Kluyveromyces lactis: one gene and its partners. The main gene of each other region encodes a partner of the protein of the gene in region 7 in a complex. Links are inferred from orthologs where the notes say so. Each region holds a gene or a part of one and is shown on either strand. Other genes may lie near its edges. The genes, in order: MRPL31, MRPL24, MRPL13, MRPL28, MRP7, MRP20 and MRPL20.

The links.
Region 1: MRPL20 (region 7) and MRPL31 share a complex: the UniProt entries of both Saccharomyces cerevisiae proteins name them as parts of the mitochondrial large ribosomal subunit. The link is inferred for Kluyveromyces lactis from reciprocal best matches to the Saccharomyces cerevisiae genes MRPL20 and MRPL31.
Region 2: MRPL20 (region 7) and MRPL24 share a complex: the UniProt entries of both Saccharomyces cerevisiae proteins name them as parts of the mitochondrial large ribosomal subunit. The link is inferred for Kluyveromyces lactis from reciprocal best matches to the Saccharomyces cerevisiae genes MRPL20 and MRPL24.
Region 3: MRPL20 (region 7) and MRPL13 share a complex: the UniProt entries of both Saccharomyces cerevisiae proteins name them as parts of the mitochondrial large ribosomal subunit. The link is inferred for Kluyveromyces lactis from reciprocal best matches to the Saccharomyces cerevisiae genes MRPL20 and MRPL13.
Region 4: MRPL20 (region 7) and MRPL28 share a complex: the UniProt entries of both Saccharomyces cerevisiae proteins name them as parts of the mitochondrial large ribosomal subunit. The link is inferred for Kluyveromyces lactis from reciprocal best matches to the Saccharomyces cerevisiae genes MRPL20 and MRPL28.
Region 5: MRPL20 (region 7) and MRP7 share a complex: the UniProt entries of both Saccharomyces cerevisiae proteins name them as parts of the mitochondrial large ribosomal subunit. The link is inferred for Kluyveromyces lactis from reciprocal best matches to the Saccharomyces cerevisiae genes MRPL20 and MRP7.
Region 6: MRPL20 (region 7) and MRP20 share a complex: the UniProt entries of both Saccharomyces cerevisiae proteins name them as parts of the mitochondrial large ribosomal subunit. The link is inferred for Kluyveromyces lactis from reciprocal best matches to the Saccharomyces cerevisiae genes MRPL20 and MRP20.

What each region holds. Positions count from the first base shown.
Region 1 is NC_006041.1:1,082,310-1,084,667, reverse strand, and holds MRPL31 (mitochondrial 54S ribosomal protein mL60), read left to right. Parts: upstream 1-1,468; coding exon 1,469-1,858; downstream 1,859-2,358. Other genes in the region: APL2 (Apl2p), read left to right, coding at 1-642; CMC1 (Cmc1p), read right to left, coding at 820-1,131; kinetochore-associated Ndc80 complex subunit SPC24, read right to left, coding at 1,936-2,358. UniProt on the Saccharomyces cerevisiae protein: Component of the mitochondrial ribosome (mitoribosome), a dedicated translation machinery responsible for the synthesis of mitochondrial genome-encoded proteins, including at least some of the essential transmembrane subunits of the mitochondrial respiratory chain.
Region 2 is NC_006040.1:1,064,461-1,067,054, forward strand, and holds MRPL24 (mitochondrial 54S ribosomal protein bL28m), read right to left. Parts: upstream 1,269-2,594; coding exon 501-1,268; downstream 1-500. Other genes in the region: KLLA0_D12584g (uncharacterized protein), read right to left, coding at 1,572-2,594. UniProt on the Saccharomyces cerevisiae protein: Component of the mitochondrial ribosome (mitoribosome), a dedicated translation machinery responsible for the synthesis of mitochondrial genome-encoded proteins, including at least some of the essential transmembrane subunits of the mitochondrial respiratory chain.
Region 3 is NC_006037.1:258,004-260,695, forward strand, and holds MRPL13 (mitochondrial 54S ribosomal protein mL50 MRPL13), read right to left. Parts: upstream 1,263-2,692; coding exon 501-1,262; downstream 1-500. Other genes in the region: KLLA0_A02893g (uncharacterized protein), read left to right, coding at 1-230; MEH1 (Meh1p), read left to right, coding at 1,862-2,293; RSC4 (Rsc4p), read left to right, coding at 2,624-2,692. UniProt on the Saccharomyces cerevisiae protein: Component of the mitochondrial ribosome (mitoribosome), a dedicated translation machinery responsible for the synthesis of mitochondrial genome-encoded proteins, including at least some of the essential transmembrane subunits of the mitochondrial respiratory chain.
Region 4 is NC_006039.1:1,299,935-1,302,140, forward strand, and holds MRPL28 (mitochondrial 54S ribosomal protein mL40), read left to right. Parts: upstream 1-1,262; coding exon 1,263-1,706; downstream 1,707-2,206. Other genes in the region: LFT1 (Lft1p), read left to right, coding at 1-342; KLLA0_C14916g (uncharacterized protein), read right to left, coding at 386-646; KLLA0_C14949g (MFS transporter), read right to left, coding at 2,153-2,206. UniProt on the Saccharomyces cerevisiae protein: Component of the mitochondrial ribosome (mitoribosome), a dedicated translation machinery responsible for the synthesis of mitochondrial genome-encoded proteins, including at least some of the essential transmembrane subunits of the mitochondrial respiratory chain.
Region 5 is NC_006042.1:1,140,011-1,142,750, reverse strand, and holds MRP7 (mitochondrial 54S ribosomal protein bL27m), read left to right. Parts: upstream 1-1,145; coding exon 1,146-2,240; downstream 2,241-2,740. Other genes in the region: SGF29 (Sgf29p), read right to left, coding at 1-516; ILV6 (acetolactate synthase regulatory subunit), read right to left, coding at 2,510-2,740. UniProt on the Saccharomyces cerevisiae protein: Component of the mitochondrial ribosome (mitoribosome), a dedicated translation machinery responsible for the synthesis of mitochondrial genome-encoded proteins, including at least some of the essential transmembrane subunits of the mitochondrial respiratory chain.
Region 6 is NC_006038.1:504,701-507,361, reverse strand, and holds MRP20 (mitochondrial 54S ribosomal protein uL23m), read right to left. Parts: upstream 1,227-2,661; coding exon 501-1,226; downstream 1-500. Other genes in the region: DNA-directed RNA polymerase II subunit RPB2, read left to right, coding at 2,007-2,661. UniProt on the Saccharomyces cerevisiae protein: Component of the mitochondrial ribosome (mitoribosome), a dedicated translation machinery responsible for the synthesis of mitochondrial genome-encoded proteins, including at least some of the essential transmembrane subunits of the mitochondrial respiratory chain.
Region 7 is NC_006037.1:691,353-693,699, reverse strand, and holds MRPL20 (mitochondrial 54S ribosomal protein mL58), read right to left. Parts: upstream 1,095-2,347; coding exon 501-1,094; downstream 1-500. Other genes in the region: KLLA0_A07777g (uncharacterized protein), read left to right, coding at 1-277; DEAH-box RNA helicase PRP16, read left to right, coding at 1,650-2,347. UniProt on the Saccharomyces cerevisiae protein: Component of the mitochondrial ribosome (mitoribosome), a dedicated translation machinery responsible for the synthesis of mitochondrial genome-encoded proteins, including at least some of the essential transmembrane subunits of the mitochondrial respiratory chain.

The DNA of each region.
Region 1 (2,358 bases), on a different chromosome or scaffold from region 7:
GAAAATTTGGAAACTAAGCTTGAACCACTGGTAGAAGTTTTCGATGAATTAGGATCCCTAACTCAAATGTCCCTTCTAATGGGTGTAGTGAAATGCCATAATGCAGTCTCAAGTGCTTTCTTACAGAAGATCTTGGAACTTTGTACGACAGACGTCCACGATTTGGACGTTAGAGACATGGCCATGATGTACTGGCGGTGTCTATCGATCGACAACGGTGATCAAATCATCAACCAATTATTTGACAAGCATGAAATTCCTAAATTGCATTCTACCTTGGACCACTTCTCCAAGGAAACATTACAAAGTCTACTTCAAGAGCTCTCCACTCTATCCTCTGTGTATTTCAAACCAATCTCGCAGATGCAACGCCGTCCCAACGAAGTTCACATCATTAAGGATAAGGATATTGATGAATTAAAGGGAATGGCCACGAACGAGATCCTGAAAAACATGAACGATGATGTACTACTTGACATGGGTGATAGCTCTGCCACGAGAAGTACAGGCGTCCTGGACGAACTAAATGATCTTTTCGATATCACTGGTGATATGGGGAAAGTAAACATTTCACAGAAAACCAATAATAACAACAACAACACCTCGAATTCCCATGCAACCGATCTTCTAGACTTAATGTAAACTAGTTTACTCTTTTGAACACCTGTACAAACTATAATTATAATGGGAAACAATGAAGCAGATAAACTTCAATCATGGATGTGCCTTTCTAAAATGTTAATTTATTATGGTGCAGTATCTACTACTATATACAAGTAACCCCAGTGGCATGTCATGTCATGTCATATCATGTCAACTTTATTCCTTTTGTTTCTTGAGAAGATCCTCAAGTCTCTCAATCTTACGTTCCACTATCAAGTCACGTTGACGATCCAGATTAGAATCCTTCTGGTATGATAATATACATTTGCGCATAGCGTCACGAGGTTCGTTACACGCTGGGAAAAGCTTCAATCCATGAATCTTTGAACATTCGACCATGGCCTCCACGTATTCTACACATTGTGCATATGCAAATTTCTTCAAATTCTGACGAGCTTCTTTCTCCTCGGTAGGGTTCAATACCCAAATTGGTAATCTTTGATTATGCTTTCCAACGCCCTCTGACATTTCTAAATGAATAATCTATCTTTGTGGTGCAGTATTCCAGTACTATAAGAACTTCTGACCTATGGTTATGGACACAGCAGCAGCTACAAATGACAATACGCTGGCTGTTCCCCAAAATCGTTTAAATCAGTTGACATTGTTCATTTGCATAATGTTGAGATTTAAAGCTTTTTCATGGATACTTTGAAAAATTTCGAAGGTTTAAAAGATTTAATACCATGAATTACGGTGGGAAATTGGTAAAAGCCAGCCAGTAGCACCGTTATACAAACTGTTTAAGCAGCTCGTTAGGTTCTGTCATACCCGGGTCAATTGAATATCTTTGTTTCATAGAGAAATGTTCGGTGCATTCAGAGCTACACAACCTGCATTAGGTGGATTATTATGGAAAGTCCCATGGCGTATGTCTGGTCCTCAAAAAGCAAGACAAAGAGACCGTTTGAGAAGCGTTGATGATGTTCTTTCAACTCTTAAGTTAGGTCTTCATCTTGAAAGAAACCATATGGCGGTTTCTGAGGGATCTCAGCTGAATCTACGTAAGATTAAACCTCGTGTGAAGAGCTTACGTATTTTAGACAAGGCTCAGTATTTCCCAAAGGAACCGGAGATGTCTGCTACTGATAAGTACAGTGTATTCAACAGGTACTCGAAGGGATATAGAAAGGGTATACATAAAGTTCCCAAATGGACCAAGCTTTCCATCAGAAGAAACCCACGTCATTTCTGATTTGGATGAATCATCATTAAAAACTTCTATTATTACATAGTAAGTAGCCCCTGTACATAGTGAATAAAATCAAGGTATCATAGTTCATCCCAGATGTTGTGAGATGATGATGATGATGATAATGGACGGGCTTCATTCCTTAGATCGAGCAATTGGTCATTATATAGTGCTACGTCAAGGGAATGGAACAACTTCAACTTTAGCACACGTATCTTGTCATCTTTACCGATCGGTTCCTCATCAATCGTGTGGGCAGCATCAGTATCGTCATTGAGTAATTGTTTCTGTGTTTCTACGACCTTTTGAATACCCTCTTGTATCGTATCTCGAAGCTGGTTAATTTCCTGTACCAGTTTATCTATGTCTTGTTGCAATTTCGGTATGTTTAATTCGTCCTCTACGCGTTTCACTTGGCTTGTTTGCTCCTGAAAATTCTTTTTAAGTGCCTGCACTTTAGTTTGCTGTCTTTGCAGCTGTGATTGCAATTGTTTCATGAGCTC
Region 2 (2,594 bases), on a different chromosome or scaffold from region 7:
GATGATTACCCGGAGGAGTGTTTGGGAGGGTATGGGAAGTGAATGGAAACCATGAGATGCCTAGCCTGGGGTCTAAGTGGGCAGTCCAGCGGCCAGTTTGGTGGAATGTCCAGGCCCAGACCGGGCAGTCCAGCTTAGGGAGGAAACGGGACAGGCCCTGCCCAGCTCGAAGCAAGCAACGAAGACGGATGGGATGTGTCTGTGCATCCTACCGTCAGCTCAGCGGATTTGGTGGACATGAGAAAATAATTTCCTAGTATGGAAACATTCTCATTTTCAGCAGAAATTGAGTATGTATGGGTGCAACAGTCAATAATGTCTGGGTGCAACAGTCACATGCACACCGTTCAATTCAATTGAACAGTGGGTGATTAACTCTTGCATCGGTCAGTCGGACAACTAACGCATAGTCTTCAAGCATCCTCCCAGCTCATGGTAGAATCTATTTTCTCATTGTTTACAAGCTTTTATATAAAATTGGAACAAAATCTATTCAGTTCTCATACAGTAATCGTACTCAAATCGAAATTCAAGGCCTTTAATCTCGATACGATGTCTGCCACGTCACGGGTAGCAAATTGGTCCATGAATTTCTTAAACGATAGATCTAATCCATCCGCTTTGTGTTCCATCTTTTCCAATGGGAAAAGGGTATGCAATAGTTTACGCTTACCAGCAGTAATTCTCAATGGTTCTCCATCGACAACAACTTTGTACAATACGGTGACTTCGTTGCCATTGGCATCTGTGACAGTCTCAGCGTCCTTATGTACAGGATTGGCAGCTTTTTCCTTAGAGTTCAGTAGTCTGTAACGGAGTTTCCAACCAGTAGGTCCCAATTCCTTAATTCTGGCGGCCTTTTCCTTAGTCAAATAGTTGTCAATACCACCTTCCTTGGTAATTGTTCTTAAAACTTTTGCTGTCATCTTAATACTAATCTTTCTGTTCAAAGTCTCACTCCATAGTCCTTTTCTAATAACGTTTGGACTCCATGATCTCCTGGTTTTTGTCTTCGATTCAGCGATGTTATTACCGAATTGGATGAAAGACGCACCGTATAAACCTTTGTTACTCTGTTTGTAAATTGGAGATTCTCCGTATGGATAATCAGGGAATTCCTTCTTCTCCTTTGGGATATATAATGGCTTGCTGTCGCCGACTTGATACGTCTTTGGAGTTGGGATCTGTCTGCTTTCAACTAATCTCCATTCTCTGAGGAGGTGGCTAAGAGTGGAAAACCCTCTTTGGGAACTTGGAAAAAACTTCATTCCAGATGAACGATCTCCGTGCTTATTGGTGAACGTACAGAGACTCTTAGACCAACTAGCTTCATACTAGGTTCAAGCTCCTTCTCTTCACCTTAGTGCATGTATCAAGTCGTTATTTTCTAAAATTTTGAATAAGCTTTGGAAAGATCAAAACCGTATACAGCGAGAATGGTAAAGCATAAGGAAATTTATGATTAGAATACACCTCTGCGTAATGGTTGGCGGTATCATGTATGTATGAAGGGTATGTATATATGTACGGCTGGATGGATATTGTGAATGAGGTCCCTGTTGCAATTTTTCTCATTTCTTCCATGGTGATTTGAAAGCCCAATTCCCGAGACGATTTCCCTTTGGATTGGTGGCATCTTTGGTCCAAGTCTTACCTGTGCGTAATTCATAGTTCTCTTTTTCTAATTCGTCAAGGCGTGTTCTGAGCTCTTGATTTTCGTCCATAACTTCCAGATTTCTTTCCATTGTTCTATTCAAATCTGCTTTCAAATCTGTGGGAATTTCAGCATCTGGATTAGGTAACGTTTGTTTATAAAGTTCACGTTCCAGTTGTTTCTTCAAATCTTCTATCTCTAGTAATAAATCCTTATTTTCGTCCTGAAGAGTTTCCATCCGAAGTCTGTTTTCAATTAGTTCATTGGCAATAGTGATATGCTCTCTGTTTAATAGCGAATAGTCATTTTCTAATTTCTTCAACTCTTTTTGAAGCTGTCTGTTTTTAATTCTTTGTTCCTCATATTGTTGTTCCTTTTCCGTTTCCAACTTGTGAATCTCATCGTACTCTTTCACGTAACGCTCCAATTGCAATGGAGTTAATTTGATTTCCAACGAATCAGAGATGAATCTATCAATATCGTACTCTTCTGGGTTCTCCTTAGAAGCATAGTGTTGGAAAAGGTCCTCCTTCAAGAAGTCTAAGAGAGAATCGAAACTGAGAATGATCAAATTACGACTGTTCTTTAACATCAACGTTAAACTGAATTTTAGCATCGATTCGATACCTTCAAGTATGACAATATCCATGATTCTGAGAACGAATTCAAGGGGAAATTTGTATGCGAACATCGTCAGGAACCATTGAGTTGCAAACATTGTAGATCTTATTCCCTGCCTGATCAAATGGTTATACAATTGAGGATCATTTTCCTCCAAAAGTGTATCAAATTGGTACAATTTCAACATCAGGCCAGGCATTCCCGGCAAGAATAAATCCCTTAATCCGTATACTTTCATGAGTTTCGTTAATAGAGAAAACGCTTGCCATTCTTCTTCACAGTTCAATATTAAAGTAGTAGCAATAAAACCCATGCCCTG
Region 3 (2,692 bases), about 430 kb from region 7:
ACATGAATCTAGATAAGATTGATTTATTGGTTCATTATAGATATGAGACTGTACCACAAGATGCTGTGAATAGATTAATCCAAAATAGGTTCAAAAAAAATGTGCCTTCTCATCCCAAACCATCTAACCAATTAATTCCTGGAATTCCCAATGAAACCCTTCTTCCAGCAGTAATTGTTGCTCTCGGTGCGTCAATTGCCGTGATATTTTCGTTATCGAGAAAACACTAGGTATACAATCAATGCCACGCTCTTTTCAAACCTTATATAAAAGTATATATATATTCACATACAATAATTTTTTTTTGGTGATTGATCTCTCATACTAATGGTTATAGTAACATTATGTATAAGTATTTATATTATGTACAGGATTTAGATTGAAGGAAAAGTCAAATCAAAGATCTGAAAAGCGGCCGACTGGCCTAGTTCAAATGCATTGGAAAAAAAGATATGCGATAGTAAATATAAACAACCCAGAAGAGAGATTGTTTTCGGAGTTTAATCCCTTTTAGCTTTCTCAATAGCGTCTCTTTCATATTGAGCTTCCAATGCGGCGACCTCTTCCAAGATTTTCTTCACCTTCTGTTTTTTCACAGATGGTTTGACATCGGGAACCACGTACACGTTTGGTGGGAATTTGATATTCGATAAATCAATGGCGTTTGGTTCCGATTCCTTAAATTTCCCTAGTTGACCACTTAGTACTTTAATCTCAAACCACGATTTAAATTCCAATGGAGTTTGTAACCTTGTAAGTTCGTAGTCTGGGATAATGTGTCCTGATTTGCATTGTAGCAGTTTACTGAATTTGAACTTGTTTACCAAATTTTCGAAAGGTTTCCCCAGTTGTTCTTCCGTTGGGACATCACCGAAAGTTTCCTGATAACTTTCCAAAACAACCTGTTCCAACTGTTGTTCGGTACTTAATTTATCCTGAGATAACCACTCGTTGAATGGGACGACATCCAACTTTTGTAAACGAATAAGTTCTTCTCTTCTAGATGAATCGATACCAACAAAATCATCATCTGTTAACTCTAATCTTGTGACCGTTGAGCTCTTCACTACAGTTGTTTTCCCGGACTCGATCTCATTTATAACTTCTTTTGTATCTCTTTGCAATTCTGGCTGTGTTGAAACGACACCAGCATCTTTGTTTTTATTTCTTCTGAACCATGACAAGAAATCAGAGCGCACTGCACTTGAAGTGAATTGTCTTGATGAACGCACTACTGGCACGTACCTAGACGCTAGCATCATTATTCTTTTTTGTTTTCGATTGAAAAATATGCACAGTACCACGCTTTAATGAACTGATATCAACCGCCAAATCAGACAACACTAGAAGATACTTCTGTGCTTAAGCTCATCAAGAACTTGACCGTTCAATTAATGTTCTAATATACAATATCTTCATCAAATTGTAAGTTTATAGTTTTTAGATGAAATTTTTCAATTTTTCAATTGGGCATAGAAAGAATGTAGTCCATATGGGAAGGTTCTAAAGAGAGAAAGAAACAGGATCTGAAGCGATAGATAGTTGCATCATAGTGGTCTTTAACAACGGGTCGAGTTAAGTGCGTACTTCCTGGTTTGCATGATGTTCACTGTATTCAGTAACTAAAAGCTGCTTATCTATGTAGCCCGATAGATAAAGAAGACGGGGTTACCCTATTCAAAACACCCACAACCCACATACTAGAATATGAAATTTATGCTTCCCAGTGCTTTTTATCAACATCTATAGTAAGTGTAGTTCCTTTACCTTAAAGCCACCAAGGCAATGAGATAGTTTACGTTTACTAACGAATTCTAGCATCAGTAGCTACCGAAAATCTGCCTAAAACATTTAAAATATTATGGGAAATGTGCTAAGTTGCTGCTTTCGTCAAGATAGCGACGAAAATGACCCGTTATTGCAGGAACAGGACAGGTACGGCTCACAAGCCCAATTAGATTATAACGAAATGGAACAACGACAGAAGGAAAGAGTGCTTGCAAGAGAACTTGAATTGACCGAAATCGTGAATAATACGAACGATAAGCTTATAGATATAGGTATGATCAGCAACAGCGGTATCGTAGCATCCTCACACGATTTAGGTTCGAGCTATGTGCAAGATCAAAGAGAAATTTTACATGACGTACCCTTAACGGTACTTCCCAGTTCGAAAATAAAACAGGACACAAGGAAGGCGATTCAAGAATTTCACAAAAAGTACTTCGCTAACCTAGTGAAAAACCTTACCGTGGAATATAACAAGCCATTGGTCGCCAATATCGAATCGTGACGCAATAGGTTTCTGCACTATTAGCGCACTCAAAATGGGTTCACCAAATGTTGAAATGCGATATATCACTATATACGTCTGAACATTTCTCAATCTTGTAAAGGTACTTTCACTCTCTTTATTGAAAACATTGAAATATACAAACTTTGTAGAATAGACATATAAAACAATACGCAGTATACGATTTTGGTTTGTCAAAGGAGCCAATTAGGTACGGTTAGAGTAAGTGCCTTGACTGCTGCATATATACTGAAATTTGTTCATTTAAGAAGCCAAGGAAGCGAGGAGGCAAAAAAAAAAGCATAAACAAACTGGAAAGCGCCAAATACTATGGCTGTGAAAAGAAGCAGATCAGAAGATCCCAGTGAGGAACCCGAACAAAAGCATTCAAAACAGAAT
Region 4 (2,206 bases), on a different chromosome or scaffold from region 7:
TTGGAACCATTTGTCGCCAAAGCTTTACCGAGAGAGAAGAAGAAGCGACCAAAGGAGAAAAGGAAGAGCAAATTTTGGTTTTGGGGATCCCTTACCCATCATACTGACGAAGGAAACCACAGAGACAAAGCTAGGTCGCCAGAGCTTGAAGATTATAAAATTGGTGTTGTATCACCGAATTCGCGGTCCCCCACGTTATCGATTCCTTTCTCTGATCCCGATAACACTCAGACTATTACCAATAACGCAGTATCGGACAACATTAACCATCACCTGTCGCTAATAGACCTCGACGATGACGAGGAACACTTAAAGTGTTCAACGCCACCGTTAATACTGTGATACGTACTTTTTTTAGGCCTAATATATTTATTTCTCATCCTATTTAAATATCATCTACATTAGCACTGTAACTATATACCTTTTTTTGAGCCGGCGTTATTATAACTTGTTCTCTGCGTACCGGGGTAGCCACGATTGCCTCTGGTATGTGGTTGGTGCTCATATGACCCACTTGATTGCAATTTTCTGCTTGCTCCTCTCGTAGTGCCTTGTCTTCCTTAAGAACATCTGTATACGTTGGAGGATCCTCTGGCAAGGAACTTTTCTTCTCATCAGGATATTGCTTCTGATCGTCTTGAGACATCTTTCCGTAAGTTTGAGTTTAACTGTTTACGACTCCGAATGTTGGTCCAAGGGAAATCTCAACTCTTCGAACAGCGTCGGTTCTGATTGCCATTAAAATATATTGTCGTTTCTATACATTATAAATGGTTCAAACAGGGTCCTTGATGTGCAGATTTCCCTTTAAAACCTTACAAATGGCGTAATGCTATATCATCATATATCAGATGTAAAGATGAAAAGAAGGAAAATATGATATCTAAGGTATTCCAGGCTTTGTTAGATTCAATTTTTCATTATGTGAGGTGGCATAGCAGGTAATCAAGACAAGTCGGAAGTTAATCACCTACCAGCTAGTCGAAGGGCAGCTACTCCCTGTGTACTTGAACCTTTTTAGGTCACGTGCAAAAGAGTTTAGCAGTCAAAATAATCAACAGTTCCGGGTAACAGACATTTGTTTGTTCAACATCAGTAACTTTGAAAAATTTTGAAGATTCGATGAGGTTTCAGTGAGTTTATTGTTAGCTTTGACAATAAATTGAATGACGATTAAATACGGGTTGATTTTCTGCGATAAGTTCGTGTGATAGCATACAGCTTCTCAGCCAACCGAAAGGATCATTAATACTCCATCCACTATGCTAGCGAGTGCAGCATCTCGTAAGAATGCCTTGAAGGTAGTGCAACCCTCTTTGAACTTTGTTCGTGGGAAAAGAACTAAATCGAAAGGTGGATTAAATCCTCAAGCGCAAAGAATCATTACACAACTCTCTGTTATGTCTGCTAGCAGGAAACAGCCAAAACTTTTAAAACTTTCCCGTGAAGATTTGATCAAACATGATATGATTCAAGCTTGTTGGGCGCAATATCAAAGGGAACTGAGGGAAAAGAGAACAAATCTCTTGAAACTACAGTACGAGAATATAGAAGAAGCTATGAACTTATTAGAACAGGTAGATCCCGAACTATATGAAATGGCTAACGCTGAAGAATCAGGTAAGAGGGTCCCATTGGAACTAAGGGTACCTACTCAATACCCACCGAACAATGTGTGGTATTATGATTACAAGAAAAAGGATTGAATAGTTCGTTTCCAGGCATAATGCATTAAAGGTAGAGCACGAATCATATTTCACATTATCTCTTCTAGGACACTTTTTTATCGGTACACCAAACGTGGGTTGCTCGAGAAACAACTTGTGTGATCTACAGGCAAGACCAAGTGCCACGCAATAAAATATAATGGAGATGTTGCATTATATATTGTAATGAAAGAGTTAGATAGAAGAAATGTAAACAAACCATGTAAATAAGCAATTCTACGAAATGATTATCGGCAGAATGAAGCTCTTAAGCTTTTCAAAGGGGACTTTAACCGTATTCCAAAGTGACAGTGTACTTCAGAAAAAAACATGGCTTCTGTGTATACATCGGTTCGAATATGAATAATGGTCTTGTTTACAAATAGCATTATTCATTTGACTTAGATGATTTTAGCTTGAATGGGTACATGGTTAGCAAAATGGCATCACCATACATATTTTCTCCAGAATGATTTGCCTGCGGTGTTTTCAACGTTTGG
Region 5 (2,740 bases), on a different chromosome or scaffold from region 7:
GATCTCTTTCGAGTTACATTTGAATATACCACCTGGTTTCCCAAATTCATCGGGTTCTGGATCTTTCACTTCAAACCGGAGTCCGTCCCCAGAAACTTTTGTGCATATGCACTGGATCCATTCGCCAGTCTTTTTAGATTTATATGCAACTTCGGAACCAACCTCAATTGGTTCACTTGGGTTGAATTGACTGGTCCAATGTGATCTACCAACAACACTCGATTCAGGGATATGCGTCGAACTGGATTCCTCCTTTAATATAGGTTCCTCTTCCACTGGATAATTATCTAATATGTATGAAATGTTCTCTACCAAATCTCTGCAGTAATTTCTCATCTTTTCATTTACAGACTGACGAGCCTCTAATTTCTCATGGATATCAGCCAATTGATTCAAATTCATATTCTGGAAATTCATATTCTTCGGATCTAAAGACTCAAACCCCGCAATATCTCCTATTTTATATAGATCTTGTAATTGAGTCACGGCAAGACCCCATCTATCTTCCGTTGCCATTTTCGCTAGAATCACTGATATATTTTGTTTTATTTTTTTTTTATCTATGGGCTGTCGGTTCTTAGTATTCCTATTTCAATTAGATAATATGGGCTTCACCAGCACGATAATTAATTTGGGAAACTTCTATAAATGGACGTCCTGTTTATTCAAACGTAAATCTGAAAGGTGAAGACTTCTTTTCGATGCAAGCAGTGTCGGTTTCTTGATGTTTTGTACTTAGAGAAATATGAGTTTTTCGTGCTGGAAGAGAACATCAAAACGTATATAGTGATGGTAGATCTTTAATTGGAACCTCAGTTTCGAATAACTTTGACGTGAATTAGACGTTTACTCCTTCTCAAGCATGAAAAATTCACTATGGTATCGAAAGAACTCTCAGCAATAGATGAAATTGGTAAAATGTATAAATCAATACTTTCAACTCTTAAACAGTCAGTTACACGAACCTTCGAAGGGCTATATCTTGTTGGATTTCGTTGTTACCCTACCTTACAATCCGCCATACTGTGGAAAATTTTTGTCACTAAAATCCTATCTTAAATACATTAAGTACAGATACACGCAGAAATACAGTTACTGTGACATTGCTTGATACTGTTCGGACCAGGCCTACGAAACAACGCATAATGTTCTCATCTTCGTGGCAACAAGTTCCCAAGTTTGTGGTGCAGCAGGTGCGTACTGCAACCAAGCGTGCAGCAGGTTCTCGTACCAGTATGAAGGACTCTGCTGGTCGTAGATTGGGTCCAAAAAAATACGAGGGTCAAGCCACTCAAGTTGGTGAGATCATCATGAGACAACGTGGTACCAAGTTTTATCCTGGTGAAAATGTAGGCATCGGTAAAGATCATACGCTTTTCGCTTTGGAGCCGGGTTATGTGAGATACTATTTGGATCCATTTCATCCAGGTAAGAAATTCATTGGTGTATCATTATACAAGGATGTAAAGCTTCCTTTGCCGCATTTCGAACCACGTTTGAGAAGATTCGGCAAGGCCATCATTGAGGATGAAGAGAAAGCCATTGCAGAAGAGAACGCTTTACCAAGAAAGATTTATTTGCTGAAGGATGAATTGATCAAGAAACAGCAAGAACGTGAGATTAAACGTGAAGAGTTGAAGGCAGAATACAGCAAGATAATTTCAGATCTGAAAGTTGAGCTGGATCAACAAGAACTTGCGTTTGCATTACCATATTTGCTCAGATGGAGAACTTGTTTGAAGAATGGGTTCAATGAATCCGATGCCCGATTTAATTCGTACTACTATTTGGAACAAGAACTTAAATTGAAGATGAGAAACCAAGAAAAATCTAAGTTGGACGACAAACTAACATTGTTGAAACAGGTCTCGACCAAATTGAATGAATCATTGTCATTTAACAACAAGCTTGAATTAACTAAATACATTTCTCCAGAAGAAAAGAATACTCTAAAGACACAACTAATTACTGATTTGAAGGCAATTGATATTAAGGACAAGAACAGTAAGAAGCAAGTACTAGCCAAGTTTACTGATGCAAAGAACTTCTTGACGTTATCTGAAGAGGTGAGACTACGCAGAAAATTCTTGAAGCCAGTGAAACCAGAAACAGAATTGAAGAAATTGGAAGAACCACTCAAACCTTCCAAGAAAAATCTAACCACCAGACGTTACAACTACGAACAAAACACGATAGATGTCATTACAAGACCAAAGACCGATTTCTTGAGCAAATTGTAAATCTTCCCCAAGTCGTTACGTAACAAACCATTTAGAGCCTTGTACATATTAACAAAAGAACCACAACAATCATCATAGTTTAAACTGAAAAAAACGAAAGTTTTTTAGAGACTATATATCATTTGGAAAGGTTAATTCCATATTATATCGTTAACGTATTTAATTTGTCTATATGTGTGAGACAAAATCCAAAACATACTCTTACATTACTATTTTTTTGATATTGGATTGTTTTGAGGTACAAAACTATGGCAGGTGAGCCCTTTGGATCAACCAGGAGGCAATTGAGAGATATCAACGATGTCATTCATCTTGCTTTGAGCATCATCTTCATCACCGACAGATAAATGGGTTCTTGGTAGAGCCATCATACCTGATCTTGCCACTTCCAAGATACCGAAAGGTTCCACAAGTTTCAAGAATGCAGAGATACGGGATGGTTTAGCACATAATTCCACAATACAACTTTGTTCAGCGATATCAACAATCTTACCACCAAA
Region 6 (2,661 bases), on a different chromosome or scaffold from region 7:
AGGAACAAAAAAACTAGAAACTCCGTGTACTAATTGGAATAGGAACTTATAAAGAACATTAGAATGCCAATCTTAGTATAATCAGCAACAGGAAAAAAAGAAACAAGATTAACCGTTTAGTGACTAAGTATGACATTAAATGAGCACCTGCCCGTTATTGAACCCTTCCATCCTGAACCGTGAAGATCAATACAACGGAAATTCAGGAATCAAATAGAAATCTTATACCGTTACTCTTTTTTCGCTTCATTTTTTTTCAAACTGGGACATACTGCACTTAACTTTCCCTTAATATTCACCACAATGTATTTATCTTTTATACATACATATAGTGTTCTTCAAACTTATTTCTCATTTAAACATTGAAAATGTTCACAAGTAGTCGTCATATTATTTTGCTATGACAGTTTTTAAATCAGTACTATATTTCATACATTATATTTACAGGATGTAATACTTTTACTAGAATTTAATTCATGAAAGAATAAATTCTCTGAAATTCATGTGCTTTTAGCAAGGACTTCACTGACCTTCTTGATTTGCTCCAAATATTGTTCCTTCTTTGCCTCTCTAGCCTTCTTATTCACTAGTCTTCTTTTAAGGAATCTAGGAATGAAAGGTTTTGCAGTTTCCTGGTATGGTCCCAATACACCATCGAATGCCTTTGAAGGTTTGTTAGCGTCGGATCCTAGTCTCATCCTATCGTTTCTGTATTTTTCCAATTCCTTTTGGAACTCAGTATTCCATGCACTCTTGTCCTCAGGTTCTGCAGGCCAGATAAATGGTTCTGCCATATCGATAGTCATCTTCTTGATTTGAGGACCACGGTACCTGGGCGACACCGGCGTAGCACGAGTGTATCTGGCATGCAATAACTGTGTAGTAACGTTCAACGCTCTTAAACCATAAAGGTGGAATAAATAATCTCTTAAATCTAATTTGTTAAACGATTTAGGAACGATGAATTTCGCTTGATATGGAGTGTGTTTAGCATTTGGTCTTAGTAGAATAACTCTCGCTTTAGGAAAATAGAGCTCTGCACCACCAACTTTAAAATGTGGTTTCTCAGTTTTAATCGCTTCACGAGTGTACTCCAAGATTCTGCTTTGTACGGATTGACGAGGTCTCTTGAACTGACTGGCTTTGACTGCTACTGTAGATTCCGTCTCTACCGCAGTAGCAAGGTTTCTCAAACCCTGTTTGAGAGATGGGAAAAAACGAGGCATTTGTTATAGATATTGAACAGAAACACTGGCGCAAAGATTACTACTTCACTTCGCTCTGCACTCGCAACTGAAAAGTCCCAAATAATCCTGTTCTTGTATGCGTCTCTTAGAAGCCTCATCTTCATACAAATCTTAATGTTAAAATCGAAATCATTTCAATGAAAAGCTTTAAAATACTCATTTTCCATGTTAGTAGATATTAGAAAAGCTGATGAGTACACATTTTGGCACGAATCTAACGTAGAATATGTCGTACAAAACTGGAGAGCTCTGGGATGTTTTAGAAGAAAGATTTTTTATTGGAAAAATCAGAGCGTAGGAAATGATCTTCACGTGACCTGATATATTGAAATTTTTGAATAAATGCTGTTACCCGTTTGTGACGTGGGAAATGATGTTCTCTTTATAGTGAAGAAAAAAAATACTCTGGAAGCTTGAAATTGAAATATTATTGTTTTGAGAGGCGAAACGTAATTACCGATTGATCGTTAATAGGAAGATTGGAAGAGAGAAGAGAAAAGAGAGTACCAGTCGGCTTAATCATCTTCTGTCAGAGTGGGGTTTGTTTCGGATTATTGGGTAAGTCCTTAACTCTTTGTATTTGGGGTGTGTTTTCTTCTTTGTTTGACCAGTAATACACATTTCTTTTCAGGTTGCGAGCAACACAACAAAGAGTGTTATTCTGTACTTTAATAATAAGCACGCACGTACGCATTATTTGCCACGGTTGTGAGGTCAGTGTAGATTATTAACGTTTGCAATTCTTAATACAGACCAAGGATGACTGAATACTATGATGAAGATCCATATGGGTACGATGAGGAAGAAGCTGCTATTTCAGCAGAAGATTCGTGGACTGTTATCTCCGCTTTCTTCAGAGAAAAAGGTTTAGTATCTCAGCAGTTGGATTCTTTTAACCAATTCATCAACTATACGATTCAGGATCTTATCTTGGAAGACAGTACCTTGATTTTGGAACAATTAGCACAGCATACCACTGAAACGGACAACATTTCCAGAAAGTATGAAATTTCATTTGGTAAGATTTATTTGGCCAAACCATCCATGACTGAGTCAGATGGTGTTTCTCATGCGATGTATCCGCAGGAAGCCCGTCTCAGAAACTTGACTTACGCATCAGGTTTATTTGTGGAAATTCAGAAGAGAACTTATCAGGCTATTGATATTCCAGGTCGTGATTTGAAATACGAAATTATCACTGAGGAAAGTGAAGAGAATGAGGAAAATAATAAAATTTTCATCGGGAGAGTACCTATCATGTTGAGATCGAAGTACTGTTTGTTGGACGATTTGACAGAATCTGATTTGTATCGTTTGAAGGAATGTCCGTTCGACATGGGTGGTTACTTTATCATTAACGGTTCAGAAAAGGTTTTGATCGCTCAAGAACGTTCTGCAGGTAATATTGTCCAAG
Region 7 (2,347 bases):
GGATAAAGAGGACGGAGTTGATAAAGAGGATATAAACAGCGACGAGAGGTTGTTCTGTGAGACGCAGGTGATATCGAATCTGAAGGAGCTGCATACGGTATTGCAGCGGAGGGAGAAATGGTATCAGATAGCAATGTTGTGCGAGGGACAGCATAGGCATCAGATTGCATTGGAACTACAAATAAAAGATGCGTATCAGATGCAGTTATTCGAAGATATAATCCTGAGAATCCGAGATGAGTACGAAATTTTCCAAGAGATGTACGATGGGTATTAGTGGTACTAATGTATCATTTTTTCCTAACGATAATGACCCCAGCTGTAACTTATTGAGATAGACACTAATTTTTGCACGTCTTCCATTGTATTATATTACATGCATATATATAGATGTTATAAGCCATTTAATAGAGTTGATGACTAACGATTGAAACATAAGGTCGATGGTTATCTTATTACTATTTACAGATATACAGTATGTTGTTTTCTTTTACCTTTTCTCATGCTCTGTACCAGAGTTCCTTTCTCTTTTTTCTTTCGGCTCTGGCCAATGCTCTCTTAGGATGCCATTGGCTCTTTATCGTCTCAAGAACTTGATTCATTTCTGTCTTTCTTTCCTTGGGTGGTTCAGAAACAATAGAGATGAACAACGGAGAACAGTTGAACTTCTTTGCTAAAGCTTTTCTAGAGTTTTTCACCGGGTCCTCCAGTCTTAGTCTTCTAATCTCAGCGATGTCTTCAGGCTTCAAATGGTAGGTCTTCTCACCCTTCTCATGTAACACTGGCGCTACCCTCGATATCTCTGCGTTACCTTGCGTTAGGTCATCTATAATGTCGTGCCTTGGATCAGTGGCCGGTAAGAAAGATTTTGGAATCGTTTCTGAGTTAGTAGAACCATGGATAGAGGATGGAGCTGGATCGTAATATAGACCTGCTGGAATCTTGGCTTTCAAATAACCTTTGTAATTGGAGGCAGATGATTTTGGATTGTAAATGGTAGCTGGTCCAACGATCTTAGGTAACTTACCTGATTTATCAATTATCTTTGAAAGATCCTTGGCCGCACGGGCGCTGGTCGAAAATAGTCTCACCATACTGTAGCGAATATGTCAAATGTAATTTCTACAGCGTAATTGGGGATTATAAGCCTGGTGTAAGGGTCTAAAACTTGTTATTTAAACTATCAATCACCATGTTTCGCACTGCAGACTCTAAATCTTTCAGTTTGATGCTTTCAAATTTTTCAGATAGAAATCCTGATGAGACAGACAGGATTAGTATGGGAAAACAGTTTATTTCGAGAAATATAGGATTATTCTAGTGGATATACCTACCTGAAGATGCTTCTATATAATATCGATTAGTACTATGAATGAGTGTGAGCTGACCTGTTAAAATAGGGCTTATATTGGCGATATTATGCAGCTTTTAGAAGTGCCAATTTGGACTATTCTGTATCTTTTGTCACGTGAAAGCCGGGTAATCCCAACATCAACATCAAATGTCGTTCCTATTCACAACAGGAAGAGCTGAAAGGCTATGAGATGGGACAAGAATAATGGCATAAACAGTCCTTGTGATACTTCATTAGCAGCTCTGTCTCATCAGGTTTTACGCCAGGTGGTAGGTTTACCAAGCAACAGAATTAGATGAATGCAGAACTTCAAGAATGGATTCAACAGAATACGGAATCAAGAGTGACAGAGAAGTTTGTTGAGACTTTAAGGCAGATTGCACGTATTCATAAGGATGTAAACAAGTTCATCGGGGGTGCTAAGGCTTTGGGGAAATTTAAGGGCAAAGATGAGTTTTTGAAGCAACTTTTTGAAAAATTACAGGCACATAAGCAGTCTCCAAAGCCAGAATCAGCGGCTGTTCCAGCAAGAACCATAAGGAAAAAATTTGTGGTTAAACTTCCGTTGGATGACAAGGAAGACGACGATGAAGATGAGCTTTCTACTGTGAAGGTACAAGTGAAACCAAAATTCAACAAGCCTTTGACTTTGAAACGTATTACGAAGCAAACTGCAGCAAAATTGAATGAGTTTTCAGAAAACACTGAACCAGTGGTCATGGTAAAAAAAGAAGAAGCGACCAAAGGCACACTTATCGATGCAGAAGGTAGTGATGTGGAAGATATAAAGGACGCCAAGGATTTTACTGCACAAGATAGAAATTGGTACGATAATGATGATGATTTTGATAACGTCATTCACGATGATGAATATATACCAGCTCAGCAAGATCCGTACGAAGGCGGCGACAGAGAGCTTGACTTGAATGAACCTGAAATCCAATTAACTTCCTTATCGTTGAATGAGCGTAAAACCATTATTCCTCCGTTTTT